Linked DNA regions of Arabidopsis thaliana. The protein of the gene in region 1 interacts with the protein of each later gene in a pairwise test. Each region holds a gene or a part of one and is shown in the gene's direction. Other genes may lie near its edges. The genes, in order: AT1G10590, AT4G00980, WRKY60 and ISPF.

Region 1 (7,178 bases):
GTTGACTGTATAATTGACTCCATAGCTTTGGAAGAACATACTTAGAGCTATCAGTTGGAGCTACGACGATTGCAAAAGCCTCTGGCACCATTACCTAAGAATGACATGATGGGAAACTGAGATCAGAATTGTCTCAAACCTAGTATATATGCAATTTGGAAACAGCAGAGATGTACCTGATACGAATAATGTGTATGCAGATCTACAGATGACATGAAACAACCCTGAGAAGGATGAGTCTGGAAAATATGCATAACCTCGTTATAGTAAGTCAAGACAAAGTAGATAAACAGATCACTAAACATGGAGGGAGCTAGAAGAGAGAGATATACATGAATCCATCCTACGGGATAGAGTTCTCTTTCGTTTTGAATGGAAAACACTTCCACTTCATTCATAGCCTGACACTGCCAATTTTAGCACCTGAGTAAGCACCTCATTTTGAATACCACAAAATGATCGAGATAATCTTTCTAAGATAACTCACAGAATTAGAAGTTGATTCTTGCTTAGGTATTATCAGAGTGGTTACATAAAAAATTCCTCTTTCCTACAGCATGAACAGAAATAGAAATGTAATTACCATCAGGTTCATGAAACTCGAAAAACGAAGAACCCTGGAACAGAAGCAAAACAACCATGAATCATGACCACAAAAGTCAAAACAAGGTGTAAACTTTAAACAATAGCATAGATCGAGTTTCACTAAAAATTCAAATTTGCAAAGATCTCTGTTAGAAGTTGTAATTAGGAACAATAAAGTCTGAAACTTTCTAACATTTTCCTTGATTTTCTCACCACCCAGATTCTCTTATCACCCAAAGTAATCAACTTGAATGCGAAGAAAGCAAAACAATCTTACAAGAAAGGCAGCGAGAGTCCCACAAGTCTCGAGGTCCTTCTCAGTGTTCTCTCTTGCAAGCTCAGTGAAATCCTCCAATAACCTTTCTGACTAAGAAGCACAAACACAACAACGATTAACTCAAATTAGATATCCGTAATTGAACGTACCAAATCACAGAGAACTGAGATTCAAAGAAAAATCTCAAAGTTCTTACGATATGAACATCTCTCAGTATTTTGGCTTCCGACGATTCACCGTGATTAATATTATCGGTACCGGAGATTAGAACCCGAGAAACGTGAGAAGATTTACATGTCACGTTCTCTACGCAAGAGAGCGAGGGAGATGGAGACGAGAGCGTTACCATGGAAGCAGAAACATCGGCTCCTCCTCTAATGGATGAGCATCGAAGAACGAGGAGAGGAGAGTGACAACAAAAAATCTCGCCCACCTCAGTGAACCGGTTTCTGATATCACGGTCCAGTGAAATTGGTTTTGATAACCGATTCGGAGAATAGAGGGTGTAATCAGTATTAGTCAAAGTTATAAGGTCAATCTTAAATATATAAAAAAATATAAGGGTAGTTTTAATGAAGATGTTTCAGAAACATGACACGTGTTGAGGTCACGGATCTACGGTGAGTATTAATATCTGAGTTCTAGAGTTATAAAGAAGACCGCCGCGTCTTTGTGTATATCGCCTCCACAGATCTAATCGCTAAAGTCATCGTCGTCGTCTCTTCTCTCAAAATCAAAAAGTACGTGAGTTTCCAAAAACCCTAGCTAGCTTTTTTCTTGTTTCAATTCCATCTTCCTAACGTTACTACACTTTTCTTCACGTCAATTTCATTTCTCCGATCTGAGATTCCGTGAATTTCTGGGATCAAAGTATATGATCTTTTGTGTAATTTAGCTTTCATTATCTATGTTGCTGCGTTTTATTGAATTTGTTGTGTATGGAGAATGAAATTGTTTTGTTGAATTGTTAAAACGTTTCTTATGTGAGAAATGAGGATAGCTTAAACCTGTTTGATCGCATTTGAGGTTTTGATTGTCTAATCAGATATTGAAATTGTTGTTAGGTGCTGATCACAGCAGATGTTGTTGTTTATGGCTAATTTTTGTAGGGTTGTTATAAAAATGGCTGAGGCAACGTCTGCTTTGAGGAAGCCTGTGTTCACAAAGGTTAATGAGTTGAGACCAGGAACCAATGGCCACTCTCTGAATGTGAAAGTTGTCAACACGAAGATGGTGATGCAGAGAGGAGGAGGTCGTCCCATGGGTCCTCAGTCACGTCAGATGCGGATTGCCGAATGCTTAGTTGGTGATGAGACTGGAATCATAATCTTTACTGCAAGAAATGACCAAGGTGAGAGAATAAATGCTTTTGTGATGGTCTTTTAAGAGACTGCTTCTCTTCTCAGTTAGCTTCTTTAATGGCAAGTTTCTGTTCTAAGTTGGCATCTTTATAGTCTATACTGGTTGTGAATCTGTGAAACAGATAATAGCAGGAGAGTGGATTGCTTTATGGAAATAGTTAGTTGTTTGCATAATTTGAGTATTTCTCATGTACTTTTTATAGATTTATGACTGATGCTATTATTCATTTTTATCCAGTGGATATGATGAAAGAAGGCAGTGTAGTGACTCTGCGTAATGCGAAGATCGACATGTACAAGGGTTCTATGAGGCTTGCAGTTGATAGATGGGGACGTGTTGAAGTTGCAGAGGAGCCCACAGACATCACCGTGAAGGATGATAACAATCTTTCGCTGATCGAGTATGAGCTTGTGAGCGTCGAAACTTGATATGGTTCCTCCACAAACGAAAACAGAGCGACTCAAAAAAAGACTTACGTTCTAGTTGGAGAAAGCCTCTTTGGTTTGGGTTTGAGTCTTTTTTATGTACTATCCGGCTTGCCTCTGATCTACTGTTCTTGTTTTGAAAATCAGGTTGCCGTCTTTTTGTAGATTGATTCTCTATTTAAATATCATGGGATGATCTTTCTCTTGTTTTAGTTTTTGTTCTCGTCTTTTTTCCTTGGAAACAAATTATTATAAAGACATACTACTTTGTACTTTCACATCCAATGAGTTTGTGTTATGTTACAATGTAGTATTTGGTCGATGCAAAGCGTTAGAGTCTCTGAATTACATAATTATTAAACCCTTAATCGGTTAGTCCTAATACTTACCCCTTGTAGATCTTGGATTATGAATTTAAGACAATTGAGAGAGTAAATTCTCAATTCTGCATTCCATCATAGTATCCCAAGTTATTCGTTTAGTGAAATTGAAGCTGAGAAATATAAACCTCGACATGATTTATTCTTGATGTGTTTAGGAATCGGATTGAAGATAACAAAATTTTCATTAAGCTCACAGAACTTATTTCATACATCAAACATATATAGATGTAATTTCCATACATATAGTACGTAGATAATATGTATGTGATGAGGATCTTCAAAGAATGTTCAAGGACACTTGGATCCGCCTTTGGAGTTTTTCATATCACGGTAGCAAGGACATTCATCTTTGTTTCCATAAGTCCCCGAAGGAACACAATTACACTTCTGGCAACATATATCGCAGTCCTCAAGGCACTCCTCATGTGTTCGATCTGCCTTTGAGCATCTCACACTGCACTTTCCACCGCATGCTGCTAATTCATTTATCACCATCACAAATCAAATCTTAGAATTTCAGACAACTAGTTTCAAAATGATAAATAACCTAAAAAATAACTAACTAGATTAAGTATACACTTACATGAATCAGCGCTTGAAAGTACATAAAATGAAGATGTGAGGAGAAGAGAGATTATGAAGAATTGTACAACCACGGGCATCTTCATTTCTGGTTAAATTTAAAGCTTTCTCCTTTTATGATAGAGTTAGTTTAGTAAAACCAAAAACTTCAAAGATATGCGAAAAGAAAGTAGTTGATGATGGACTACATATAGTGAGAATTTGAAGTGAAATGTTTGTTATAGGTTGTTAAATAAAATATATAGAAATAAAAGATTTCATACTTGTTATGTCGATACTATTCTCACTTAATAATATTCACATACAATTTAAAACCATATTCAAAGAATTGTATGACTAGGTACGTAGTATTGAAAGATCTTTAGCTAGTGCTACAATGTAAGAGACAGCTATTTTTTATATGGAGATCCAATCTTTCTTTATTAATAACATGTATGGACTGGAATCTCGAATATACCGTTACCATTTTATAAATAATGGCTAATTCGTGAGTGTTATTTTAGAAATAGCCAGTTTCTTAGAATAGTAGCTGATCTTGATTCAAATATTTGACAAAAATAAAGAATAAACATGTGTGCCTTGACAACAACAAGCAGCGACGACTAGGCGATATATATATATATATCTTTTATACCCAAAAACAGATAAATATACACAAGTTATTCCTTTGGACGATTTTGCAAAACAAGGAAAGAAGACAAAATGAAGGTTTTCTTCTTTTACTTCTTTGCGGCTAACATGTGTTCCATCATGTTCTAAATGCTTTGTGTTTTTTCCTTTCCAAGTTTTGAAAACGCTCTGTTCGGTCTAGGTGGCAAAATTCTGCATAACATCTAGGGATATGAAATTGACTCAAATACTACGAACCAAACCGGACTACCAATGAACCGGGTTTTAGCAAGTGTACATTTGAATATTTGGTTGGGGTCATTCGACGAAGAGATTGTTTTACCGCATCCACAGAACTGATTTAGTTCTAATCATGGTTTGGTTATGGATAAATAACGAACAACAGAAATAAATAATTATATGTAGATCAACAGTGATCTGCTTTTAGTATTCAAGAAATTAGCAAAGGCTCCAAGACTCAATTTTGCGAGGTTTAATTTTATGTTTTTGTTTTTATTCGGTGAACGATTCATGTAGAATTGGTTAGAAAGTTCAATCTAGAATTGGTCACGTGTATAATTATTATTTTTGTTATTAGAATAAGACTTGGTCAAGTGTATAATTGAACGACATCTCCGGTGAAATATGTCAGCTTTACGGCCAAAAAATAGTTCAAAGTCTTTTATATCGGTAAGGAATAATGATAGCTTGTTGAATAATCTTAGATTCTTCGTTTTTGACACCAAATTGTCTTAGCATATGTGACCTGTATAGTGTAATTCGGATAATAAATATGGACACCTATTAATTAAACATGGAATTGTTACATTATCATTTAAAGGTATCTTTAATTTTATCTAGCCTATTACAAATGATCAACATAATTATCATGGTATAACAAAAAAATTCCCTTGTTGTTTTTGTCGATCCAAACATGGTACTTATGTGAAGAATTCATCACATATAATCCGACTAATTTAATTACTATGTTCTGCTGAAATGATTTTGATAAGCACATTTTCTACAAGCTTCACTAGAACAAAACCTAGCGTAACACTATCTAGGTTCTAGAAATGTGTCCAACAAAACCTTACCAAGTAAGTAAAAAACATATTGGACATGTTTAGTATCTCTAAGAGTGGAACTTACAAAGTAAAAGAAGCATATATATGTATAAATTAAGTAGTGTGTAAGCTCATGGACGCAACCAGAAAAGCCATGACTTTCTTTGAAAAACATCATTTTCATCTAAAATTACGCGGCTCTTTCTCTCTATCTCTTTATATTTATAGAGGGAGAGATGGATTTGGAAAGAGGGAATTAAACATAGTAACCTAAAAAAGGAAAAGAAGAAGAATGGAAAGAGCGAGAGAAATAGGAGAAGGAAGCGCATCGTCATTACGGGAACAACGAAACCTCAGAGAGAAAGAACGACGAATGCGCATGAAACATCTCTTCTCCATACTCTCTTCTCATGTTTCTCCCACTCGTAGGGTCCGTCTCTCTCTCTCTACATGTATTTTATTGTTTATATATACAGAGTACATAATTTTTCGTAGATGTAATGTATGTGTTGGTTTTGTCTAAGCGCCTAGACGCTTAGGCAAGGGCTATGTTGCGAAAATCCTATGGACATCTTGATTTTAACCAGATCAATCAAAGAACTGATCAAGGGATAATCATCTTGATTTGAACCAGATCAATCAAAGTGCAGCATTTAGCTAGGGTTCTCAGTATTTAGTACAAGCCAGCTAGGACCATTATATGTAGTGTAGAGTTAAAACAAATGATTCATATCTATATATACATTTTTGCAGTCATTTTAACAAATAAATCCTGGACTTAGAACTTATTTACGACTCAATGCCACTGAATTTATTTTTTTCAATCGACATTTTAAATCAAATATTTACCTAACAAAAATATTGCCTAAAATGTCTCTATATTAAATCCACCATTACTTCAAAAAAAGTCTAACATTACTTCAAAAAAATCATTCCTAAAATCTCTCTTAAGTATTTATTAATTTTCGGTTTTAATTTGCTGCAAAAAAAAAATCGGTTTTAATAGTACAAAATATTTTAAGGTAGAATTTTCTTTCCATATTTATTTAATATTTCGTTTTTACAGCATTTAATATTTTGTTTATAAATAACAAATTAATTATTTAGCATTCAAGAAACTTTTTTCTAATCTATCCTTTAATTATATTGACATTATTGATTGATTTTTAAAATATATAGAGATTCAAATCTTCCATATATGTTTATCATCTTCTAAGGAAATTAAACAATTATTTTCTGAATCTAAACTAAAATTTAGAAAACTAAATAAATAAATAAAATCGTTTTAATTATTTTCTAAGCTAAACTATATTACACTATGATCTTTAGTTTTGAATCATTCATTTTCATTGTAATATAAAGAATCAATCTCATATTTTCCGTGTTATACAAATAATCAATCTCATATTTTCAGTTAGTAAAATGTACATGTATTAAAACGTAACAAAATCATCGTTCTCAAAACTATTTCAAATATATTACAATCTCATATATCACGCAGATTTCTTCAAAATTTGAACTAAATGTCGGTAACTATTTATAACAAAAAATGTTTGGCAAACCAAAATACAATTGCAATCCCTTAAAATGAGCAAAACGCACTTAAATACATTTTTTTATCAATTCACTAAATCTTATTTCTCCAAAATTTAAACTAGATTTCGGCAACTATTTAAAACAAAAATTGTTTGACAAACTAAAGTACAATTGTAATCCCGTAAAATATTTATTTTAATTATATATTTAAATCAACGATGTACTGTAGTTTTTTTTTACGGGACGGGTTTGGCGGGACGGGTTTGAAAGGACATTACTTAATAACAGTTGTAAACTGTAAAATAAATATATTTTATAGATAGATATAATTTACGAACTTTTATATATACTAATT
Region 2 (8,213 bases), on another chromosome or scaffold:
TCCTTTCCCTTCTGCATTTTTCTTCCCATCTCTCTCTTGATGGAAGCCCTCACTTAGTTCCTTGCAGCAAGAAAGACATATATCGACTGAACAATTTTTGTTCGGACAGCTTCTGTGAAAATTGGCAATGGATGTGCGGCAGAGATCACTGTCGTATAGGGATGAAGAGATTGTCAACAAACAAGGAAACATTTAGAAAAATACGTTAAATCAAATACGAGATACAATTCAAAGAAACAGATTGACAAATGTGTTTCTATAGATGGATAACGAAACTATGTCCTGTTTTATCCAATATGCAACGTCTTCACTTGTTTTGGATATAAAGAGAACTAATGAACAGTAGACCCCATATACCAAATCCCAAAGATAACCAAAAGTAGCCCAACAAGGTATAGAACCCTTGTCTTCCTTGGGCATATGACACTCATAATGATGAAAACAACTCTCTGCCCATTGCTTAACATGATATGAAGCTTATTTTCGTTCAAATGAAAATACATGAAAAAGGAATAACGTTAAAAGACAGTTATGAAAATAACAATGACAATGTCCTTTAAATCAAATGACAATACAATAAAAATGAAGATACTTAATAAGATCATAATCTCTTCAGTCATCTACCCATCAAACCACCCTGATTACTCCCCCCAAATCATTCCTTTTATATTCCATTCATTTAACAATTAGTTTGCTACCAAATCTCCTCACGAAACTGGTGACAATCGGTACATTTTAATTTGCTCTCTGCCTATTTGCAAAGGATACAAAAAACAGTATGAAAATTCAATAACATTGGTTTTCCCCCAAGATAAAAGATCAGCCAAAAAGATGCTCCCAGAGATTTGGAATCTTACCAGTATATGCGTTCGCTTGGGTCAAGTTTGCACCTCTTGATATTAGCTTCTGTCACAGGGTGTCCTAGAATAAAAAAGGTTCGTGAGTGGAGAATAGAAAGAGGAAGAAATAAGAGGATAGCACAAGTGAAGACAAAGAGCCTTACCTCTAATTGTTGATTCAATCTCTAGTTCACGGTTCTGCTCCGTATAAATATCCTTAAGAACTGGGAGAACTTTGACTAACAGATACTGCAGCTGCTTAAGCTTGACATCTGTATCTTTTTCACTTGGAGGCTGAGATTCACAAAAAAAAAAAAAAAATCATATTGAAGGAGACATTTCATCTCAGTAGATCCACAAGAAATAAGTGATCTCAAGCCCACTTACCTTGATAACCAAAGGCAACCGCAAACAAGCTCTGCAAATGCAAGTCATCATACAGAATGGACAAGCAGCTCTAACTTCCTCATGTGTTCTTTCTGAATACCTATCAAGATTCAAAATAGTTAAAACTCTCCTGGAAACCGCAAATCATAAACTAGTATAACGTAATACTGAACAGTGCAGATACATACGATCTCTTGATGCAGTCAAAGCAATAACACTTCTTGTTACACTTTGAACAGAAGATAAGATCACTCTCACTCGTCAAGATCTTACAATGATGACACGTCGAACCCAAACACTTTCTGCTTCCGTCAGGCTTAATATCCTGGGAGAATTAGGGTTCCAAAAACATATTCTCATCACATCCGAACAAATAAAATTCACCAAATCGAAATAAACAACATTCACACAAATTTTGCAGCTAAATAATTGCATGAGAAAGCAAATTTTAACAACTCCACAGAATCATGAAAGAGATTCATCTATCTATTTGAATGAAGCAATTATAGAAAGGAATTAACCTTCTCGGGATTAGAAATGTCTATTTCAATAGATCGCTTCGAAACCTCTCCTCTTCCTCTTCCTCTTCCGATTCTTCCTTTGCTCACAACATCATTCTCTTTCTTCCTCGTCTTACGCTCGCTTTCAGATCTCCCATCTTCGACTAACTCGCCGGAATCTCTTGGTCTGATTCGCTTCCCTCTCATTTTCTCCATACTCGGAGACAAAGAAGAGACCACCAATTTTTACCAGTATACAAAAGGAAAATGAAGAGACCTCTGGAGTTTCTTCGAACGTCGTTAATTCATCGATTTATCGCCGTCGCAGCTTTGGGACTATCAAAGTAGTTAAAGGAGAGTGACGTGGCCACAGTCCAGAGGGTAGTATGGGCTTTAAAGTCTACTTCGTGAATCGTAAGTAATTATTAATTAGGGAACAAGACGTTTCATTACTTTTTACTATTCTACCGTTTCAACTTCTGTTTTCTTTCCAAATTTAACTATTTTTTAAACAACCGGTTAAAATAGATTTTCTTTAATTAACCAAGTGGTTCTCTCTGGTATCTTTGAGAGAGAGGAAAACTCTGTTTAATATTTTCTCCGATTGAAATCGGATTTCATTTAAGTTTTTTTTCTTTTCTTTTGTTTCCGGTATCTTGCCGGTTTTAATTTCCGAATTGTTCGGAGTTTCTTTCGGTTTTCTTTGCCGGTTTTTTATAAGGCCTTTTGCAGGTTGTAAATCAACACTTTCAATTTTAGAAGATGTTTAATTCTTGGAGGTTTTTAGATGGAAATGTGTTCATTGGATGCTTGATTACTCTTCCATGTGAAGGAAAATTCCTCGCTATGCTAATAAAAGCGTAAGGGCATCGGTTCTTCATGGATGATAGATCAAGGTGTTGTGGTTGATTGGAGAAGAGTATGACGAGTTGGGGTTCACGTCATGTTTTAATGGTCCTCCAAGGAATATTCTAATCCTAATCAGCTGAAGTTTAAATTTCCGGTGACCAAACTAACTCCAATAGACTATTTCCGGTGATCCTTGGCAAAAGGCATTCGGTACAACTAAATGTGGGTAGAAAGTTTCATGGAGGAGCTGAATCATTTGCTGACCGGCGGAAGATTTCTCCGGCGAAGCAGTGACGGGGCATGTGCTGAAACGTTGATCTACGCTGCAATCTCCACATTGCATACATGTGTCATCATATTGTCTATTTAATGTTTGCAATTAGTGGGCTTTTGGCCTCAAGTTGTACCTGTTTATGAAGCCCATTTGGGCTAATTAATAGAAAAATGTTTGCCGTTAAAAAAAAAAAAAAAAAAGTGGTTCGATGGTCGTAAATAACTTTTATGGGTTTTGGTCTTGGGTTAGAGAATTCAAATTCATGGGCCAACCCAATTTTCATTTTAAGTGCTTCTTCTATGATGACATTTCACGAAAATAATACAATGGATTGTCGAGGAAAGAAGTGATGTTTTCTGTAAATTGTTAGGCATTAGTTATTGGAGAAGCGAAATGTGAAATGCACATTGTTTGTTGGCTATTAACTTGCTTTTAAAGGTGACTTGAACATATTTGGTGTCTTATGTTGATTCCGAAGCTATGAGTACTTTTGATCAATCTAGTTTATGAAGTTACTTTTAGCATCGCCTTCTCGATTTTGTTACTGCCATCACATGTCAAGTTGGTTTTGATGTTTTGTAAGCATTGATAAGCTTTAACGAACAAACTTTTTTTTGTTATCATTACTGCGTATTGGAGTTTTGCATTACATCTTTTGCTTCTCTTATGGCTGAGCAGGGCCGGCCCTGGGCTAAAGTTGGTGAAACTCATGCTTTACGCGCCTAAAATTATAGATAATATTAAAGGGCATCAAATTTTAAAAATGTTTCGTAGTCTAGTGATTGTTTCATAGATTAGTGACTCTTTCGTGGACAGTTCGAACCTTACCTTCGTTTTTTTGAGACTTTAATTATAAATAGATTTAAAATGCTTAAGAATTTTAAATGAGCTTAAAGATGTTTTAGGCATCAAAATCTGTTGGGTTAGCCCTCTGGCTGAGTCTGAGCTCGCAGCATGCAATACTAATTTCTTAAGCTGCAATGCAGTGAGAAGACAAGTAAAACAAGATTAACATTAGCCCAAACTAGATTATTCACAACAAATGTTAATGACTATTACCTTGCTATCTTTATATTTAGCCTCTTTTGTTTGAGCTTAATTTTCAAAAATAATTTGCTTTCTGTCGGTTTAGTTTCTAGAAGGATTCGACTCTTAGTATCTTATCGGCTTCGTGAAGAAAAACTGTATTTCACCCATATATTTCTCAATCGTATTCGTATCTCACCCATGTATTCATATATCGTATTATAAAACAGAAAAGATATATAGATAAGGAAAAAAAACTCATATATATATATTTGCATATATAAAGTATTAAATGCAACAGCTATAGCAAAAAGGTTCTATGGTCTAGCGGTTAGGACATTGGACTCTGAATCCAGTAACCCGAGTTCAATTCTCGGTAGAACCTCTTTTTTTCACACTCCGGCCAAATTTTTTCCCCCGGCGATTTATGAACCCTAAATATAACGCCGGCCAACAACCAAAACTCGACGCTACTGCGAAATCTTTTTCTTTATCCTTTTTTTTCTTCTTTTTCGGGCGAAATGGAGAATTCGTTGCTTGATTCTGGTGAAACTATGGAGATTGTCGCTACACAAAAAATCGAGGAAACAGTGAAGAGCATACTCAGTGAATCTGATATGGACCAAATGACGGAGTTCAAACTCCGACTTGACGCTTCGGCTAAACTCGGTATCGACTTATCGGGAACCAATCACAAGAAGCTAGTCAGAGATGTTCTTGAGGTCTTTTTGCTATCGACTCCCGGTGAAGCACTCGTACCGGAGACGGTGGCTCCGGCGAAAAATGAGACAGTTTCTGTTGCTGCCGCTTCCGTTGGTGGTGAAGATGAGCGCTTTATTTGTAAGGTTGCGACTTTGCCTATTTGTTCTATGTTTGATTCACTGTATAGAGTAGAGATTGTGATCATCTCGATTTTGAGTTTTTCAGTGGTCACTGTAGAAATTGTTGGTCTTTAACTGTAGTTATCGGAGAAGCAAAATGCGACGGTTCAAAGATACAGAGGCCAACCTTTTCTATCGATTGGTTCTCAGGAACATGGAAAGGCTTTTAGAGGTAATTTGAAACACAACTTGGTGTCTTGGTCTTGACTATGAAGCTATAAGTAGCCATTTTTGTTTTAGATATGCTCCTGTTGATTTCAATTGTTAGATGTTTCTTCTCTGTCAGGAGCACATTTGTCAACTAACCAATGGTCTGTAATCAAGAAGAATTTTGCAGCGATAGAGGACGGTATTAAGCAGTGCCAATCAAAACTAAAGTAAGAATGTGTACCTTATTTTAAGTCTATAAAGATTCATGTTCCCTGGCATTGCTTTTAGTGTTTTATGGTCATATAATCATCGTGGCATAGGGCATTACTGTCTGGCTAGCAATGTAGGCTGCTTATCTTGCTATTAAACGTTATGCAGATCTGAAGCAGCACGAAATGGAGATACTTCTGAGGCTGTGGATAAGGACAGCTCTCACGGTTTTTCTGTTATCAAGATTTCACGATTTGATGGAAAGAGTTATCTTTACTGGGCTTCACAGATGGAACTCTTTCTGAAGCAATTGAAGCTGACTTATGTACTCTCTGAACCTTGTCCCAGTATTGGTAGCTCTCAAGGCCCTGAAACCAACCCCAGGGAAATAACTCGAGCTGATGCTACGGGGAAAAAATGGTTGAGAGATGATTACCTGTGCTATACTCACTTGATGAACTCCTTGTCAGATCATCTATACCGTCGATACTCTCAGAAATTTAAGCATGCCAAAGAATTGTGGGACGAGTTAAAATGGGTCTACCAGTGTGATGAATCCAAATCGAAGAGGTCACAAGTCAGAAAGTACATTGAATTCAGAATGGTGGAAGAGAGACCGATACTCGAGCAAGTCCAAGTCTTTAACAAGATTGCGGATTCCATAGTGAGTGCTGGTATGTTTCTTGATGAGGCATTTCATGTGAGTACCATCATCTCCAAGTTTCCCCCGTCTTGGAGAGGCTTCTGCACCAGGTTAATGGAAGAGGAGTATTTACCAGTCTGGATGTTGATGGAACGAGTAAAAGCTGAGGAAGAGCTTCTCAGAAATGGAGCAAAAGGGGTTACATATAGACCAGCCACAGGCTCCTCTCAGATGGAAAGGACACCGAGTCTAGGAACAACACATAGAGGATCTCAGAGCGTAGGTTGGAAGAGGAAAGAACCTGAGAGAGACGAGAGAGTCATCATCGTCTGTGACAACTGTGGGAGGAAAGGACATCTCGCAAAGCATTGCTGGGGTAGTAAATCTGATGAGAGAGCTTCCGGAAAATCAAACCGGATCAACTCCTCAGTCGCTGCACCTGTGGAATCAGAGACTCAAGCAACAACAAACAATGATAGGGGGTAGTAGTTGATGATTGCTGAAGCCAAAATGTTTATATCTCTTCACAGATATACTTAAAGAGGTAAGTCTTTTGAATACCGTTGATTCAGGATTCAGAAGCAGTCCTTTTATGACCTTTTTTCAGCTTGTCCATATGTCTGGCCTATTAGATTTATGACACTGAAATGTATAAAAGAAGAACAGAGAGATGACCAATAGATCAGTTTTGGCCTGATTTAATGTAAAAGTATACTTTTATGAATGATAATTTTTTTGTCAAAATTGCTTTTTAAATCCTATTTTGAGGAACCAAAATAAAAACAGAAACCTCAAAACTGATATACAAACAAATAAACTGACATCAATTGAGGTGACAATACTTAACACACAACCAAAAATTAAGAGTTTCTTTGTCCCAAGCGTTATGGAAGATATTCTCAGCCTCTAAAATTAAACTTGAACGTCGAAATTTTAAAAAGGACCAGATGGAGAGTAATATAAAATTAGCGGGTGAAAAATAGAAGAAATTAAAAGTTTCAGGGTGAAAAGGAAAAAAAATGAAACCTGTCAGACCGCCGTGCGACCACCCCGGCAAGGGAGAACCGAGCCGAGTAACCATCCTCTACAGCACCGGATGCATCCAAGGACAATCGTAGCCGTCAATCACGCTCAAGCCGCACGGTCACGGTTCATCAACAAGGGTTTAGGGCCTGTCTCTTGAGAAATTTTCTCAAGAAAACAGATGTACGAGCCTATAGTTCAAGTAAGGTCGTGACCATTGATGCTTTGTATCCATATATAAAGAAAACGTTTCTCCACTAGCTTATCGATGTGGGACGCAAAATTCCTAAGAAAAAGCAATCATAAGCTAATGGGCCTACACGAGGAAAAAAACACTAATGGGCCTACATTGTTAACAAAGCCCATATATGTTCAAGCCCAATAATTAGAGATTATGGTTTCATTAGGACAAAGAATTTTAAGTTCAAACGTCATTTGACATTTTGAAGTGTAACTTTAAAGCAAACAGAAATCTTCATTTTTGTCTTTTACACACAAATTTAACGAGCATCGAACTCGGTAATTGTAACATCATTCAAAGATGCAATATGATTTATCTGATTTTTGTCTCTTGACAATGATTCTCCATCTCCCGAGTAAAATGCGGGTTGCGAGGGTCTCGGTAAAGTGAAAGAATTTGCATTGAGCATTACAACAACAGAAGCCATTGTTGGTCTACTCTCTGCATTCTCCTGAACACACAACAAACCAATGTGAATGCATTTCATGATTTCATCACTGACACCTATTGTTTCAACCAAACTTGGATCCACAATGTTTAACACTTCCCCTTCTCTCCAGCTCTTCCATACCTATACGTATAAAAGACAATATATGACTTGAAATCAAGACAATATATGAGTCCTCAATTACAACCCCAAACTCAAAGTCTAGAGTCAAAAAAAACAAAGCAAGAGTTTTATTCACTTACATAGCTAAGGAGGAATAATGAGCTGTCTTCTTCTGGAGACCAATTGTTTTTCTTACCTTTAATAATCTCAAGGACTAGTACACCGAAGCTAAATACATCGGTTTTTACCGAGAATTCGCCACTCATTGCATACTCTGGAGCCATGTAACCGCTGCCAAACGAGCAAATAATGTTTTGGCTTTCATTTTAGTTTTACAGAATTGATAATAACTTAAAGGGTAGTTTTTAAAATGGTAGCTTACTAGGTTCCTGCAACTTTGCTTGTAAACCTGGTCTGACTTGTTTGGTCAGTATCAAACAACTTTGCCATTCCAAAATCCGCGATTTTCGGATTCATTGCATCGTCCAATAGAACATTGCTGGCTTTCATATCTCTATGAACAATCTTGAAACGAGAATCTTCATGGAGATAGAGAAGACCTCTAGCAACACCTGAGATAATCCTATAACGTGTTTCCCAATCTAAGATCATTCTCCTATTAGAATCTGCGAAAGAAAAC
Region 3 (7,739 bases), on another chromosome or scaffold:
ATTCGACGAAGATTCGGGTCTGATCATTTATCAAGTGTTTTCTGCAATGTGTTGATGTTGTTTTGTTCTTTGCTACAGGCTCTTGATCCAAGGACTCGTATGGTTTTGTTTAGAATGCTTAACCGGGGTGTGTTTAACGATGTTAATGGATGTATTTCGACAGGCAAAGAAGTATGTCACATTCACTACTCTCATATTTGATGGTTTAGCTATTTAGTCAAGAAGATGATCTGTTTGGATTCCTTTGTTGAAAGTACTCTCTTTTATTGTTTTTCAGGCTAATGTTTATCATGCCACAAAATCTGACGGTTCGGAACTTGCAATAAAAGTGTACAAGACATCTGTTCTGGTTTTTAAGTAAGCTATTTACATGAATAATGTTGTTTATCAGTTCTTCTAAAACTCTTAACTTAATCCCAGTTTTCAACTTTGATGATTTCAGGGATCGAGATCGATATGTACAAGGAGATTACCGTTTTAGATATGGCTACTGTCGTCACAATCCCCGGAAGATGGTGAAGACATGGGCTGAAAAAGAACAGAGAAATCTTAAGAGGTAGCCTATAATTCTTTGTGGGTGTGTGCTGGATAATTGTATTGTACTTAAGTGAATTAGAATAAGAAATCTTGGAAGTCCCTCTCTGCTTACTAATCCATATGAAATCTAGTTAGTGTAGTTTGATTTACCTTATTTTTCAAACAGAAGCCAGAGATGTATTCACTTTTTTCAAATATATATAACAGTAATTTTGGTGATTTCTTAGTTGGTTATATACATTTTTCACTGGCAGGCTTCATGCAGCTGGAATTAGGTGTCCAGCTGTTATACTTCTTCGCCTTCATGTGCTAGTCATGGAGTTTATAGGTTCGCTCTAATGCATTATCTGCTGTTTTAATCACTGATTCCAGGCATCTCTTCTCCATTCACTCTAATTCATCTGTATATTTGACTGAAACAGAGAAATGATGAATTAAAGGGTTTTCAGTTACCTAATCCAATTTACTAAGAATGTTTTATTTATATAATTGCAGGGAGGGATGGTTGGGCTGCACCGCGTCTCAAGGATGCTGCATTATCTCTAGACAAGTTGCGCGAGTGCTACCTAGAGGTATGTCTTATTTTCTCATTTAGAGGGTCCTGAGTGTATTATGGCATTACAGTCAGGATTCATCTCTTTATGGTCTCTTTACTGACATCCTTTTTTCTGCATTTCAGTTGATAATTCAAATGCGAGTATTATATCAGAAGTGCAAATTGGTGCATGGAGATCTCAGTGAGTATAACATACTTTATTTTGAGGTGAGTTTTGATTCTTTTTCTTTAGGGATCTCTTCGGTTTTACAAGGGTCACTTGAACAAACAAGAGAAGACAGATATAATGATATTGTCTTGACTTTGTCAGGGGCACCTTTACATAATTGATGTTTCTCAATCTGTGGATCTGGACCATCCTCTTGCACTCAACTTTCTACGGGAAGATTGTGACCATGTCTCGGTAAGTGTCCTGTTTTAACAATGCTTAATTTGACTGGTATAAGGTGTCTGATGTGTGGAATATTTTGACAATCACACGCAGGATTTTTTCAAAAAACATGGTGTGGCTGTCATGACAATACGGGAGCTATTTGACTTCATAGTTGACCCGGCAATTACAGACGAAAATGTTGATAGCTATTTGGAAGAGGTAATGTATGACTTTTTATATGGATTGTCCATTGAATCAGTGGGCAGCTTTAAATTAATGAATTATGTAACAATGGGCAGGTCCAACGAAAAGTTATAGAGCGAGGAGAGATATCCGTAGAGGATGAAATCGCGGATTCAGTATTCATGAAGGTTAGTTAAGAGTGTATCCAGTTGTGTGAACTGATATGTGAAGTTGTCTGTAGAATAATCTTAATCTTACTGGTTTGTTATTGATGTTCAGTCATACATACCGAAATCTCTGGATGCTGTGAACAACCCTGAGGCTGACGTGGCTAAGATAACAAGCGGGCAGGACACAGGAGACATGCTATACCAAACGATAACGGGGCTTAAGGATGCTCTTCCTAAAATAGAAGAGCAGAAAATAGAGGTGAATGATGAAGAGAAAGAAGAGGAAGGAGAGGAAGAAGAAGACGGAGAAAGTGAAGAAGGAAGTGAGGAAGAAGAGAGTGAAGAAGAATTGGGTCATGAAGACAAGAAAGCTGCAAGGAAAGAGCACAAGAAGAAAGTGAAAGAGGAGAAACGAGAGTCTAGGAAGACGAAGACACCCAAATCTGTCAAGAAGCGAAAGAAGAAAGTCTCTAAACCACACAAGACTCGTTAATCCGAGTTAGAAGTTTTGACACCCCAACTTGTATTTTTATTTATATTTTGAAATTTTGTGTCAAATTCTGGGAAATCGAGTATGGACCCAAAGCTCTCTATATTTCCAAAAATAGCAAGTTCTTGTAATATTCATAGTATGACTTTATTATAGAGCCCGAAATTGGTTTGCTGCTGTTTCAAGAATAGGATTCAAATTTCTGTTCCTTTCCTCACATCCCTAACCAACTTGACAATTCGAATAATGGTTGTGTCTAAATTTATCAACTCAAGTTTTGAGATTGTTGGCTTATAGTATGAAAATTCTAATCCTGCAACTAGTTTATTTACAACATTTTTTCTTTGTTTAATGAGTTCTTGATTTTATACAGTTTAGTGTTTATGAGCTTTTCTTCTTAAGCCTCTGTTTCCATAGTTTATATCTTAATACGTGTTTTCTCTTTCTTTTGGAGCTTTGATTATCTCTTTTAAACTATGTTTTCGAAGATATCTTTGTTTTCTGCCGGTTTTGTAAGATCGGAAAATATATTTTTATTTTATAATATTAATAAAAAAGATGACAAAACAAAAAATAATGATTTTCTTTCAAACTTAATGAACATAAAAAAAAGGGAAACGAAATCTTATTTTGCCTAGCTGACATAATTAACTAATGCAACTAAATGTAGGTAGGATTAAGTAAACAAAAATATGAGACAAAATTAAACATGCCAACCTCCAGGGCATAGTCAATGGGTCAAGTCAAGCGAAAGTTGGTCTGGATCTTACAATGCAACTTAATGTAAAGTACTCATTTTTCTTCGACATGGGACATCCGCCGAAATTGTTGATTTTTGATCCATCTTTACACTTGTTTTCTCCGATTACAACAAAACATAACAATTCGACTACGATTTAACACCTAACCTTTTTAATTTTTTAGGACACGCATTTAGTATTTACGATGCAAGCCAACAAATTTAATCCAACGTATTAAACACAACTTGCTTTTTGTCAATACGTATTAAATTAAATAGTTTTCTTGCAATTTTTGTTTACACATTTCATTAGTATTGTTTTTTTCCAATATTTTTGTTTCTATGTTCAATCACTATCATATGCATAATACACATTATAATTTTGGCACAATTAGAATTACACACAAGGATTTTATAAATGTTTTTAAAATGATTTACAAAAGATTTTATAAAAATTTTACAAAAGTTTTTAAAAGATTTAATAAAAGTTTTAAAACGATTTTACAAAGAGTTTTAAAAACTTTTAAAGGTTTTAAAGAAAGTTTATGAGAATTTACAAGAATTGTAAAAGATTTATAATAATTTTTTTAGAATTAGAAAGGAGACCCTCATTTTCCACCCAAATCGTCAACCTTCTCATAATTGACAAGTTATTACACTCTCTCCACTTACTAGTTACTATAAAACCAAAGGAGACCAAATCTCTTAGCAATTATGAATTTGGTCTTCGCTATAATCTCACGTTACATTAAATTGGCTCCTGTGAACCTAAATTTATGGACTATGATCCCAACACCAATCCGTTCGACCTTCATTTCTCCGGTAAACTTCCGGTGAGTTTTTCAATTTCTTCGAAAATTTCACTTCAATTTTCGAGGTTGTGGTGATTATTCGTGGTGTTCATATATATTTTATTGCCTGATTTAGAAAAGAGAAGTCTCGGCTTCAGCTTCTAAAGTTGTAGAGAAGAAATGGTTAGTGAAAGATGAGGTTAGTTCTTTCATCGAACACTTTGGTGTGCAATACTTTGACCTCAAAATTTTTGACTATGAGTGAATGGATTAGGTTGATCAAGTTCTCATATCTGATTTAGACATTGAATAGTTTGTTTAGATCGGTGATGCTCAAAAGTTGAACAAATCAAAGCTTTGTCTTACAGCTTAGTTTGGTAATGGTGATTTTCATTTTACACAGAAGAGAAATATGCTACAAGATGAAATAAACCGGGTTAATTCGGAGAACAAGAAGCTAACCGAAATGTTAGCAAGAGTCTGTGAGAAGTACTATGCTCTTAATAATCTTATGGAGGAGTTGCAGAGTCGAAAGAGTCCTGAAAGTGTTAACTTTCAGAACAAACAGCTAACGGGGAAACGAAAACAAGAACTTGATGAGTTTGTTAGCTCCCCAATTGGACTCAGTCTCGGACCAATCGAGAACATCACCAACGATAAAGCGACGGTTTCAACCGCTTACTTTGCTGCTGAGAAGTCTGACACAAGCTTGGTAAGGAGATTTCTACTACAAGTATCGTTCTTTGAGTGTATTGATTTGTTAACGAATGTTTTGTGGATATACGTTACTTGTAGACTGTGAAAGATGGATATCAATGGAGGAAATACGGGCAAAAGATTACGAGAGATAATCCATCTCCTAGAGCTTACTTCAGATGCTCGTTTTCACCGTCTTGTCTAGTCAAGAAGAAGGTACTTTGGTTTAAACTTTGTTAAAGAGTTCTTCGATATCATCTTGCTGTCTGATTAAATTCCCTAGTTGTGTGTGCGCTTGTTTAGGTGCAACGAAGTGCAGAAGATCCATCTTTCTTGGTAGCCACTTACGAAGGGACACATAACCACACCGGACCACATGCAAGTGTGTCCAGGACAGTGAAACTTGATCTAGTTCAAGGTGGGCTTGAACCAGTTGAGGAAAAGAAAGAGAGAGGGACGATTCAAGAGGTTTTGGTGCAACAAATGGCTTCTTCGTTGACCAAAGATCCTAAGTTCACTGCAGCTCTTGCGACTGCTATTTCCGGGAGATTGATAGAGCATTCAAGAACATGAAAGTTCTCTAGAACATGTATATTTCTGTTTTGTTCTATTTTGTTGCTCATTCCTAGTAAAAAGGTAAAGATTTGTTTGATCTTGATTAGGAGGCATAGATGTCAATTTTAATGTGTGTGTATATAATTACATCAAATCTAAGTATCCAAAAAGGGTCACCCCCATTTTATCTTATGTTGAAAGAGTTTTGTTATAGCTCGGTGTAAGTATGGTAGATTGACGCTGCTTCGACAGTTTATGTATCTTCCAATGTTATCTTGTTCAGTTGTTTGTATTAACTTCCATTAGAGAAGAATGTGATGCCATTACAGACATAAAAGAAACAGAGAAACCCGGAAACAGAGTAAAACCACGAAAAACAGAGTCGGTTTAAGAGAACCAAACCAAAATAACCGGTACAGCTATAAAAAGCCAAGAAGAAAAATTATGAACCGAGTCCAAATTAGGTTACGGTTAGCTTCCAATCCCAACTTCTTCTTCTTCTTCATCTGTGTTTAGTCCCAAATTGAAGAATCAAAAGTTTCGTGTTTTGAGAATTTGACAAAAATTTGTTTATGTAATCTTAGTTTTCGCTGATTTTGAGTAAGTTATCGACATGGATATTGATGTCGGACCAGTTGATCCATCTGTCCTATACGAGCAAGACCTCCATGTTTCTTCTGCTGTTTGGGAAGGACAGGTTTTTTTCTTAATTCCCTTGCTAAATTTCAGATTTTGAATTTAGGGTTAATCTTATTTCCCCTTACTTACCTTAGGAACGAGGTCTACTTCGTTGTCAAGAACACACTTCATTGCTACATCAATGGAAACTCACTGATGAACAAATTAACCTCGTGGACAAAGCTGGTTTCGGTTACTTTCGCAAAATCGGTCCAATGAGTTTAAACAATTCACTGATCTCTGCACTTGTTGAGCGATGGAGAAGAGAAACCAATACTTTTCATCTTCCTTTAGGAGAAATGACTATAACCTTAGACGAAGTTGCTTTAGTACTTGGACTTGAGATTGATGGAGATCCCATTGTTGGTTCTAAAGTTGGTGATGAGGTTGCTATGGATATGTGTGGTAGACTTTTAGGGAAGTTACCATCTGCTGCTAATAAAGAAGTTAATTGTTCTAGGGTTAAGCTTAATTGGCTTAAAAGAACTTTCTCTGAGTGTCCTGAAGATGCTTCTTTCGATGTTGTTAAATGTCATACTCGAGCTTATCTTTTGTATCTTATTGGTAGTACCATTTTTGCTACTACTGATGGTGATAAAGTCTCTGTTAAGTATTTGCCTTTGTTTGAGGATTTTGATCAAGCTGGGAGATATGCTTGGGGAGCTGCTGCGTTGGCTTGTCTTTACCGAGCGCTCGGTAATGCGTCGCTTAAATCTCAGAGCAACATTTGCGGTTGTTTGACTTTGCTACAGGTTGGCTTCTATGTTAGTTTTGGTTTTCTGTCCAGTTGAGATTTCAATATCTTTAGGAAATGTAACATATGATTGTCTCATGTATATAGTGTTGGAGTTATTTTCATCTGGATATCGGTAGACCCGAGAAATCCGAAGCGTGTTTCCCGCTTGCTCTTTTGTGGAAAGGTAAAGGAAGCAGATCCAAAACCGACCTATCTGAGTACCGCAGAGAACTGGACGATCTTGATCCTAGCAAGGTAAACCCTTCAGTTCATCCTTATGAATTTTGTATTGCTCTAAATGTTAATAATTGATGGTTGTGAAAATGCAGATCACTTGGTGTCCATATGAAAGATTTGAGAACTTGATTCCACCACACATTAAAGCCAAGCTGATTCTAGGAAGATCGAAAACGACTCTTGTATGCTTTGAGAAAATAGAGTTACATTTTCCAGATAGGTGTCTGAGGCAGTTTGGGAAACGCCAGCCGATACCTCTGAAAGTAAAACGCCGCGACAGAAAGAACCGTCGGCTTGATGACTTGGACACGTCAATGAGTCTAGCGTGTGAGGAATGGGCTGAACGTGGGGATCACATCGTGGACAGTCCTGGAGGTGGCAATGTGGTGGATGATGGAGCTTACATGGAATGGTATGCTAGGATCAGTATCACCAAACTATACCGAGAAGCGTTTCTCGAGTCCCAAGTCATGAATATGGTAAAATAAGTTTAATCTCTATCATTTCTGTTTTTAAAACATCTTATATTTGAAACCGGCAAAATAAGTTTACTTTGGTTTGGTGTAGATTGCTTGTATGAGGGAATTTGAGGAAGCTGCTTCAGGGATTGCACTAGAGAGATTATCTCCAGCGGAGAGAGAAGTGATGGAGAGTGTGAAAGATACATTCGCTAATAGTTTGACGTTTGGGGGATGGCAAGAGGTGGCAGTTAACAGTGGTTACGGGAAGCGCCGGCGTCGGAATGAACACACTCCGACGCCGAATAATGGTGGTGGTAATGATATTTCGTCTCTTCTGCTTCAAAAGGAAGACTCGTGAAGCCTTTTTCTGTTTGTTTCATCTTTAAAATGTTACAGTGTTTATGTATATGTATATTATTGGCCATTTGGTGACAATGGCAGAACTTTAATAAAACGATAATGCTTAACACAAAACCGGAAATACGGCCACCGGCGCATAGAACTGTCGTGATGGTCGTTCTTACCAAGTCCTAAGGG
Region 4 (7,775 bases), about 20 Mb from region 1:
TATTGTCATGGTTATAATTATCTCGGTAAATATATAGCTACCAAGATCGTGCAAGGCAAATACATATAACACTTAAAACACCAACATGTAAGGTCTTCCACCAATAAAGATGCGTTTGCTTTATATTGGTTCCAAATATAAGAGAGTAACTTATTAGGGTGAAGTTTTATGCAAACTCTAATAGAATGTAAAAATAGATTACAATCAAATCAAAATTTTCCAAACTGAAGTATGATCTTTGTTTACATATGGCATTGTGATGATTTAGTAACAAAACTTGTCCTAATCTCCACTTTCCTATGCAGGTATAATGATAATTCCAACCAAAAATTCTCGCTCACTTCTTGCTTGATACAAGACTAATCTTCTTTCCCTCCACAACAAACTTGCCACTTCGCTCCAGCTGCAACAAGGACGTTAGAACAATATCAGTAAGAATGACAAACTTTGGAACTTTGTGTAGAATATGAGAATCCCACTTTAAAATGATTATGTTTACTAACTTCACTATCACACTTCTTTAATCTCAAATATAATGAATTTCATACGCTTAATGTAGATTCTATACGAAGATTTGGCATAAAGATTAGCTAAGATTGCATTACCTTAAGTTTCAAGTAAGCAATAGCATCTTTTCTTGAAGAAAACTCTGAAAGAACTGATGGTGCTTGTTCATCGATCAGAGATTTTAGCTGTTTCAGCTTCATGAATCCACCTTTACCAGCATCCTAAGAATGTTTTTGCACATATACATATAAGTCGATATGAGTGGTGGGATGTTTTAGAAGAATACAATGACAGTTCAAAATAAATTGACAACGAACCTTTTTAACAATCTGCTTGCACAGGTTCTTTAACTTGATTTTGGGTTCAATGATTTCATCGTGCTTCCTTTTCGCGGGAAGAGAACTTTCAATTACAGAGTCCTTGTCATCATCATCTGCTTCACTCTCGTCTTCATCTTCCTCTTCGTCTTCTTCGTCATCATCATCATCATCATCATCATCATCATCACTGTTATCAAAAGAGGTTTTCTTCCCTTCGTAACGAACACCAGCTATTTTCTTTGGCCGGTCTTTGATACCCAGTCCTTGTTTTCCCGCTGTGGCTTTATCCTACAGACATTCCAAAACGTCAATATATTATTAGATCCCAACCTCTTTTCCAAGAACAGCCTGCAAAGAACATACCTGAACCATGTTGTAAAGATTCTCTTGATCATTCTCACTAAACATTTTTCTCTCGCTAGCTTTTAATTTCTTTTTGCCCGACTTGGCCCCCAGAAGACCACCCGAGACAAACCCGGATTTAAATCCCCACCAGTTCGAAGAAGGTTCTTCAATTTTCTGTTCTGTTCAGTCCAAAAGATCCATACATTTTCAGTTCAAAAAAAAGAGCAGAAAGTCACAATTTCAAGATGCAAGGACAAACTAATCACCTTTAATACTAGCATCTTGGTCCTCAGATATAATTTCAATATCCATAGAATCGGCTATGTCACAAACTGCAGGAGAAGGATCCTCAGTTCGCTTAACCTACAAAACAGTAAAATAACGTGCCTAAGTCGGACTATCACTTTCATAATGAGATTTGTTTACATAATGGTGATAGCAGAGAAAATTCTAACAACATGCACAAGTTCACAGTACATGTAGAAGTTATGATCCATTCTAATCAACATGAATCTTGATCATGAGCGGATAAAAGACAGGACAGAACTGTTTTGAAAGGAAGCTTACCAGTATTCCTTCAAGATCTTTAGACGAGTATGAATTGACAAGCTTCCCTTTCTCTCTACGTTTATACCTTCCTTGTGGACGAGTGACTTTAGCAACGGTCTTCAACTTGGCAGGCTCAGATTTGACAGCATCATCTTCACTTTCATCTTCCTTATCTGAATCTATCGTATGCCACATAAAACAACAATCATTAGGATAAATAAGCTTCTCTAAGTCAAGAAAGAACTCAACTTAATAAGAAAAACTTATACCATCATCATTCTTGCTAGTCTTGGTAGGAGCAGCTTGCTGCAAATAACACACACACATACACAAAAAGATTGAAATTATTTCAAATATTTCAAAGAGCATAGTTAAAACGAAAGATGAACACAGCCATTACCACTTTCAATTTCTTGAGAATGTTATCGAACTGAGTTGTATCAAATGCCCATGGATTTGGCTTATCAAGACCAACACCTGCTCCAACATTTTAAAAAAATTCAGACCTATAACATAAACGATAGATGCATATACACCACACAAATATACAAAAGGCTTAAAGTAGCTCTATCTTGATTCCACAACTTCACATTCACCAAATTACATAAACTAAACTATGTAAACAGACATTTCCTCCTAAAAACCGAAAATAATGTTGTTGTTTTTTAGTGTAAGTGAAAAGTAGCTCTATTAAAGTTTCCTCCAATCTAAATTCCACCGAGAAAAATTCAAATCACTAGTTTCCATTAAGGAGAAGAAGAAGAAGAAACTAACCAGATGTATCTTGTTTGTTCGTAACTCTCACATAACCTTTGATACCTTGCTTATCTTTACCAAGTCCTTCTCCTTCTTCCCAACCCTAAAAAAATCACCAATCCAAAAAATTAGGTCTTCTCCTTTATAAAATCTCTACACACATTAACATCATTACAGGAAAATTCACTCACCATCGATTTCATAAGCTTGAAAGCGGCGGAATCCTTACATATTCCGACGTACTTAACCGGAGCTTCCGGCGCCGCCATCTTCTCTTCTAATTTTCCGGCGATTGAATGGAGACAATGCGTCGCCGTTTTTCAAAAGCGGTGCGGAAGAGAAGAGTGGGCGAGGAAGTTTAGAGAAACTGGAACAGAAAACCTAAAGCGAAGAAGTGATGAGTAAAACTCCTCTACACGTGGTCTTTAGTAAACTTCAGTGGATATGTAACATGATCGACGGTCGAGAGTTTATCATATTTTAAATGGGCTTTAGGAAGGAAAGGCCCAATAAAGAAATGAATATTTCCACCACAGAATTATGAATTGAGTAAACCAGAAAATCGAAGAAGAACGGCAATGGCTACTTCTTCTACTCAGCTTCTACTGTCTTCTTCTTCTTTGTTTCACTCTCAAATTACCAAAAAGCCATTCCTTCTCCCGGCGACGAAGATCGGCGTTTGGAGACCGAAGAAGTCTCTCTCGTTATCATGTCGTCCTTCAGCCTCGGTTTCAGCTGCTTCTTCCGCCGTCGACGTCAATGAATCTGTGACTTCAGAGAAACCAACCAAAACGCTTCCGTTTCGAATCGGTCATGGTTTCGATCTACATCGTTTAGAGCCAGGGTATCCTCTGATCATCGGTGGGATTGTTATTCCTCATGATAGAGGCTGCGAAGCTCACTCCGATGGTAAACATTTCTTGAAATTCGATTTGGTTAATTCGTCTTCTTGTAGATTTTAGGGTTTTGATTTGAGTTTGATGTTGGAATTTGTGTAGGCGATGTGTTACTTCATTGTGTAGTGGATGCAATTTTGGGAGCACTAGGCCTTCCAGATATAGGTCAGATTTTCCCTGACTCTGATCCTAAATGGAAAGGAGCTGCTTCTTCTGTATTCATCAAAGAAGCTGTAAGATTTCGACGCTTACCTTGATGTTCAATTTTGTGTGTATGTTCCAGTATTAGCTACTTCTTCTTTAAGCCTTATTTTGTGTGTGGTACTTTATAGAATGGTTCAGAATTCAAGCTAGATCCATAAGTTGATGGGATTTACTCAGCTTAATAATACTCTTGAGTAAATTATTTTCATCTATAGGAAGTCGAAGAAATATGGAAATCAGATCTTATCCCTGAACTGTTGTCATCACTCAACGATGCTATCTATAAGCTTATCACTCTTGTATACATGATTTTTGTCTTGAAAAGCCTTGGCATAACTCAATTTTCTGTTGAATTTTAGGTTCCTGCATCTTTGTATTGTTAGATTTCAACACATATGATTGATGATAAGTAGAGGTACTCAAGGTTGAAGCTATAAAGTTTCTTTCTTGTCCTGTCTTTTAAGTTATGGGTTCACATTTGGCGTAATGTGTTTGTTAAGTTCACCATGATTGACTGTGAATGTTGATTGCGTGGAAGCTAATCTGAATCACTTGTAATGATGTTATATAGATATAACAGAAGAAATGTTAGATTCTCGTCGGTATGAAGAATGATTCAATAAACTTGAGACGAGGTTTATTTGACTTTGTGTTTCAGGTGAGACTCATGGACGAGGCAGGGTATGAGATAGGAAACCTAGACGCGACGTTGATTCTCCAGAGACCAAAAATTAGTCCACACAAAGAGACAATCCGATCCAATCTGTCCAAGCTTCTTGGAGCAGATCCTTCTGTAGTGAACTTGAAAGCCAAAACACATGAGAAAGTTGATAGCCTCGGAGAAAACAGAAGCATAGCAGCTCACACTGTTATTCTCCTCATGAAGAAATAGAAGTCAAAATTGATTTTAGCTCTTTATCATATTCCTTAAAGTGTCTCATCTTTTAAGAAAAACATACTTTTGATTGTAAAGTGTAATCATCCTTTAAAGGTTAATTAATCGAATCGTTTCGTAGAAGCAGAGAAAATCGAATCATATTTTGTTGATGATTCATTGTGATTCCTAGTTCCTTGGTCAGATTTGAATATAATTGGAAACTGTGTCTTGGACTGCAAGTTCCTTGTGACACAATTTTTTATTTGTCTGTCATATAGTTGTTGCTTTCCTTGTCTACATGAATTCTTAAATCAAAATCAGAGAATAATAATATCATACTGAAATAAATACATCAATGATCAGAGAATAATCCTTACCCGTCAATATAAAATCAACTTCTGACTAATCAGAGACTTAACATACTGCAAATCTTAAGAGATTATACAGCCGTGATCATGATCGCACACAATAGTAGTGTGATGATGCATTGGACAAACCGGAGTGTCATGGTGAGACTGAGACCGGTAAAGAGCTTCTTCACGTTCACGTTCACGTTCACGTTCATTTTCTTCTTTCTTCTTCTTTTCCGCAGCTGCAGCGGTTTCCGCTTCCTTCTTCGGATCGAACGGGCCAAATGTAGCCATTTTCGCACTCTCCCATCTCTTTTTGAGTTTTTTGAGAATCTGCATTTCGTCAAACTCACCAATCACCGTTAACTTCCCTTCTTTTGAATCCATGGTAATAGTTGTAATTCCTGGAATAAAAAGTGTTAAGATTTAGGTCTTGAGACTAAGGAAGATCTTTTCAAGGTGGTAGGTTCTTTTGAGATTTCAATTCATAATCCATAAAGAAAACCAAAAACAGAACGTATTATTATTATTCAAAGCTTTGCAGCAAAAGCTCATTAACAAGAAGAAACTTAAACTTAAACTCACACTCAAACTCAATAATGAGTGATTAAAAGATTTGGTTTTTCACTAAATAATCATGAACGAGACAAGAAAAATCAAAATCATTATTTAAGGGATCATATCATAACCCATGAAGAATCACATAAATAGAGTCTGTGTGTGTAATCGAAAAATCTTTGCCTTTTCAATTTAAAACGCATGAACAGAACAAAAAAAAGTTTTGAGGGTTTCAAATCAAAACTCATCAAAAATCTCAAGAACAGGGGAATGTGAGTAACGAAAAGCTTTGCTTTTTCATTAAAAACTCATGAATATTACTACATAAATCAATTTCAAGTTTTGAGGTTTTTAATTCAAACCCTTAAATGATCCAAAAAGCAGAGTGAATGTTAAAAGCAAAAGCTTTTGGCTTTTCACTAAAAGAACAGAAGAATTAGATCCATCGTTGGAGATAGTCTTAACAGCAATCATTTTTGTAGGGTTTCAATTCAAAACGACAGAACCTACAACGAATCTCAAAACCAGAGAGTTTGTGTAATGAAAAGCTTTGGCTTTTCAATAAAATCACATGAGCAATAAAAAGAAGAAAAAAATTGGTGCATGTTCACCTGAACAGCTAGCTACTGTTTGGATGACTTTCTCCTTAGACCTCTCGTCGCAAACATTTATCATCACCACCATTTTCTGTAGAGAAAGTGTGATTAGAAGAAGAACAACCATTAATCAAAATACTCCAAAGTCTATAAAAATTCAAAAGACTCATTTTTCAGTACTTTGAAAACCAAATGACACATTACCTTCATTTTCTTTGTAGAACAGAGAAGAAGATGTGGTCCACAGTAAAAAGTTGGTGTGCTTTTTTTATTCGTGTAAGCAAGTCGATGATGCTTTATGTCCCAAATAACAAACCGCCACATTAAATGGATTCAGAGAAGAAAAAAAACATAATGTTGGAATATCATAGTGTTTTGTGATTTAAATTTTTTTTAGAAAAATGTTTTCTTCAGTAAAAAACAAGAGTGTGGATTTCACTTGTGAGAAATGGCTTATGGATGTTTTCAACTGTACTTGTTATTTTCTCCTGTGGTTCTTTGGAAATTTCTTCTCTTTAATGGTCCCATGATGAGTGTCCGTCGATTATTGATCGTTACTATATCCAGTAATTTCCATTTCAAAAGTTTTTATATTGTCAAAGATTCTTCCAAGGTCCCTTTTTATGGTAAGTTCATGTTCATCATATGGTTTTGTTCATCATGATCAATTGTTTTTAGTACCAACCGCCAACATCCATATTTTGTTTGCATTTTGTACTTCTTCTCCAATAAACAACGAGAAATAGATCATGAAAAATCCCCGAAAATCATATTTCAATTTGTGTTATGTGGCTAGCCAGACACGTCATTTATTTCTTAGCTCCAAATGTTATATTGTCCTAATTTTTCTTTTTGGCATATGTTTATTGATATTATTTTGCTTTATAATTCATTTGCACCACAATATTCCGTTTTTTTTTTTATGTGCGTTAAGACCGAAATGAAAGCATTTGAGTAAGCATTGAGTAATTTCCACGCACACTTTATGCAAGTTATTTCACTCGCGATCACAAGAAAACCATGTCGATTTTACCAAAAGAAAACAAAAAACCATGTGGAAGATATCTCTTAAATTGTTCATGAAAACTCTATCTTAATGGTCCTCTGTTAGTTCTTTTTTTAATGTCGACTTATGCTTCAAGAAACCATGTGAAAGTCTCTAAATTAACAAAAGTATGTGTGTTTTCTAGAAAATCAAACCACTTATAAAATCATTTGTAAAGGATAATTTGTAATTTCTGAAGTTCGCTTGTTTAGTATTAATCCCTTGAATATGTTATCCGTCACATCAAAGAAACTGTGTTTTCATAATTTTTGGTCTTTGAGTTTAACCTATTAGCAAAACTTCACATGGTAGTTAAAATTTGTCATCATTAATATTGTTTTAAGATTAGAAAGGACTCTCATCTATAACGAGTGGATCCCACGCGCAAATTCTTGTGGAACATTTCTGAGTTATGTGGCTTACCAAACAAATCATTAAGTTCTTAGTTCCAAATCTTCTACTGTCCTAATTTTTCTTTTTGGCTTAAATTTAGAATTGATACTATTTTGCTTTATAATTCGATTTCACCACAATATTTCCTTTCTTTTTCTCATTATCTCACAAATTCAAACATATTTAGCTGTCTTTTTGTAATTGCTTTTATAATAATAAATTAGTTACTTGACTCAAGAAAAACAAATACTCCAATTACTCAAGCGAACACAGCTAAAAAGCCTAAAATAAAGGTCAAATAAAAGCATCCACGATCAAACTCTACAATTCATCCTTACTCATAAAATGTCTTTATACATTAATTAATATGAACTATAAA

Evidence for each region.
Region 2: the proteins of AT1G10590 (region 1) and AT4G00980 interact in a two-hybrid assay, tested with the Arabidopsis thaliana proteins (one large-scale study listed by BioGRID).
Region 3: the proteins of AT1G10590 (region 1) and WRKY60 interact in a two-hybrid assay, tested with the Arabidopsis thaliana proteins (one large-scale study listed by BioGRID).
Region 4: the proteins of AT1G10590 (region 1) and ISPF interact in a two-hybrid assay, tested with the Arabidopsis thaliana proteins (one large-scale study listed by BioGRID).

What each region holds. Positions count from the first base shown.
Region 1 is NC_003070.9:3,497,798-3,504,975, reverse strand, and holds AT1G10590 (Nucleic acid-binding, OB-fold-like protein), read left to right. Parts: upstream 1-1,560; 5' UTR 1,561-1,602; exon of another isoform or gene 1,603-1,606; intron 1,607-1,926; 5' UTR 1,927-1,942; coding exon 1,943-2,213; intron 2,214-2,461; coding exon 2,462-2,652; 3' UTR 2,653-2,967; downstream 2,968-7,178. Other genes in the region: AMSH2 (associated molecule with the SH3 domain of STAM 2), read right to left, coding at 42-94, 177-239, 333-407, 488-550, 863-952, 1,059-1,211; AT1G10588 (Gibberellin-regulated family protein), read right to left, coding at 3,321-3,508, 3,616-3,700; AT1G10586 (basic helix-loop-helix (bHLH) DNA-binding superfamily protein), read left to right, coding at 5,580-5,717.
Region 2 is NC_003075.7:420,764-428,976, reverse strand, and holds AT4G00980 (zinc knuckle (CCHC-type) family protein), read left to right. Parts: upstream 1-4,388; 5' UTR 4,389-4,396; coding exon 4,397-4,720; intron 4,721-4,837; coding exon 4,838-4,928; intron 4,929-5,042; coding exon 5,043-5,133; intron 5,134-5,284; coding exon 5,285-6,245; 3' UTR 6,246-6,499; downstream 6,500-8,213. Other genes in the region: AT4G00990 (Transcription factor jumonji (jmjC) domain-containing protein), read right to left, coding at 1-148, 858-921, 1,004-1,133, 1,227-1,326, 1,415-1,551, 1,748-1,942; CRK41 (cysteine-rich RLK (RECEPTOR-like protein kinase) 41), read right to left, coding at 7,283-7,594, 7,714-7,864, 7,956-8,199.
Region 3 is NC_003071.7:10,625,988-10,633,726, forward strand, and holds WRKY60 (WRKY DNA-binding protein 60), read left to right. Parts: upstream 1-3,674; 5' UTR 3,675-3,824; coding exon 3,825-3,881; exon of another isoform or gene 3,882-3,975; coding exon 3,976-4,038; exon of another isoform or gene 4,039-4,242; coding exon 4,243-4,551; intron 4,552-4,634; coding exon 4,635-4,751; intron 4,752-4,838; coding exon 4,839-5,108; 3' UTR 5,109-5,426; downstream 5,427-7,739. Other genes in the region: AT2G24990 (Serine/threonine-protein kinase Rio1), read left to right, coding at 79-171, 278-357, 443-556, 792-865, 1,033-1,109, 1,217-1,300, 1,404-1,496, 1,578-1,685 and 2 more; AT2G25010 (Aminotransferase-like, plant mobile domain family protein), read left to right, coding at 5,704-5,787, 5,864-6,520, 6,610-6,759, 6,834-7,220, 7,309-7,560. UniProt on the Arabidopsis thaliana protein: Transcription factor. Interacts specifically with the W box (5'-(T)TGAC[CT]-3'), a frequently occurring elicitor-responsive cis-acting element.
Region 4 is NC_003070.9:23,735,617-23,743,391, reverse strand, and holds ISPF (isoprenoid F), read left to right. Parts: upstream 1-3,007; 5' UTR 3,008-3,055; coding exon 3,056-3,386; intron 3,387-3,475; coding exon 3,476-3,606; coding exon of another isoform or gene 3,607-3,630; exon of another isoform or gene 3,631-3,644; intron 3,645-4,235; coding exon 4,236-4,469; 3' UTR 4,470-4,719; downstream 4,720-7,775. Other genes in the region: SPO11-2 (sporulation 11-2), read left to right, coding at 1-69; AT1G63980 (D111/G-patch domain-containing protein), read right to left, coding at 338-403, 606-728, 825-1,115, 1,191-1,351, 1,439-1,535, 1,740-1,900, 1,991-2,027, 2,122-2,198 and 2 more; AT1G63960 (Copper transport protein family), read right to left, coding at 4,886-5,208, 5,974-6,085. UniProt on the Arabidopsis thaliana protein: Enzyme of the plastid non-mevalonate pathway for isoprenoid biosynthesis that converts 4-diphosphocytidyl-2C-methyl-D-erythritol 2-phosphate into 2C-methyl-D-erythritol 2,4-cyclodiphosphate and CMP. Is essential for chloroplast development.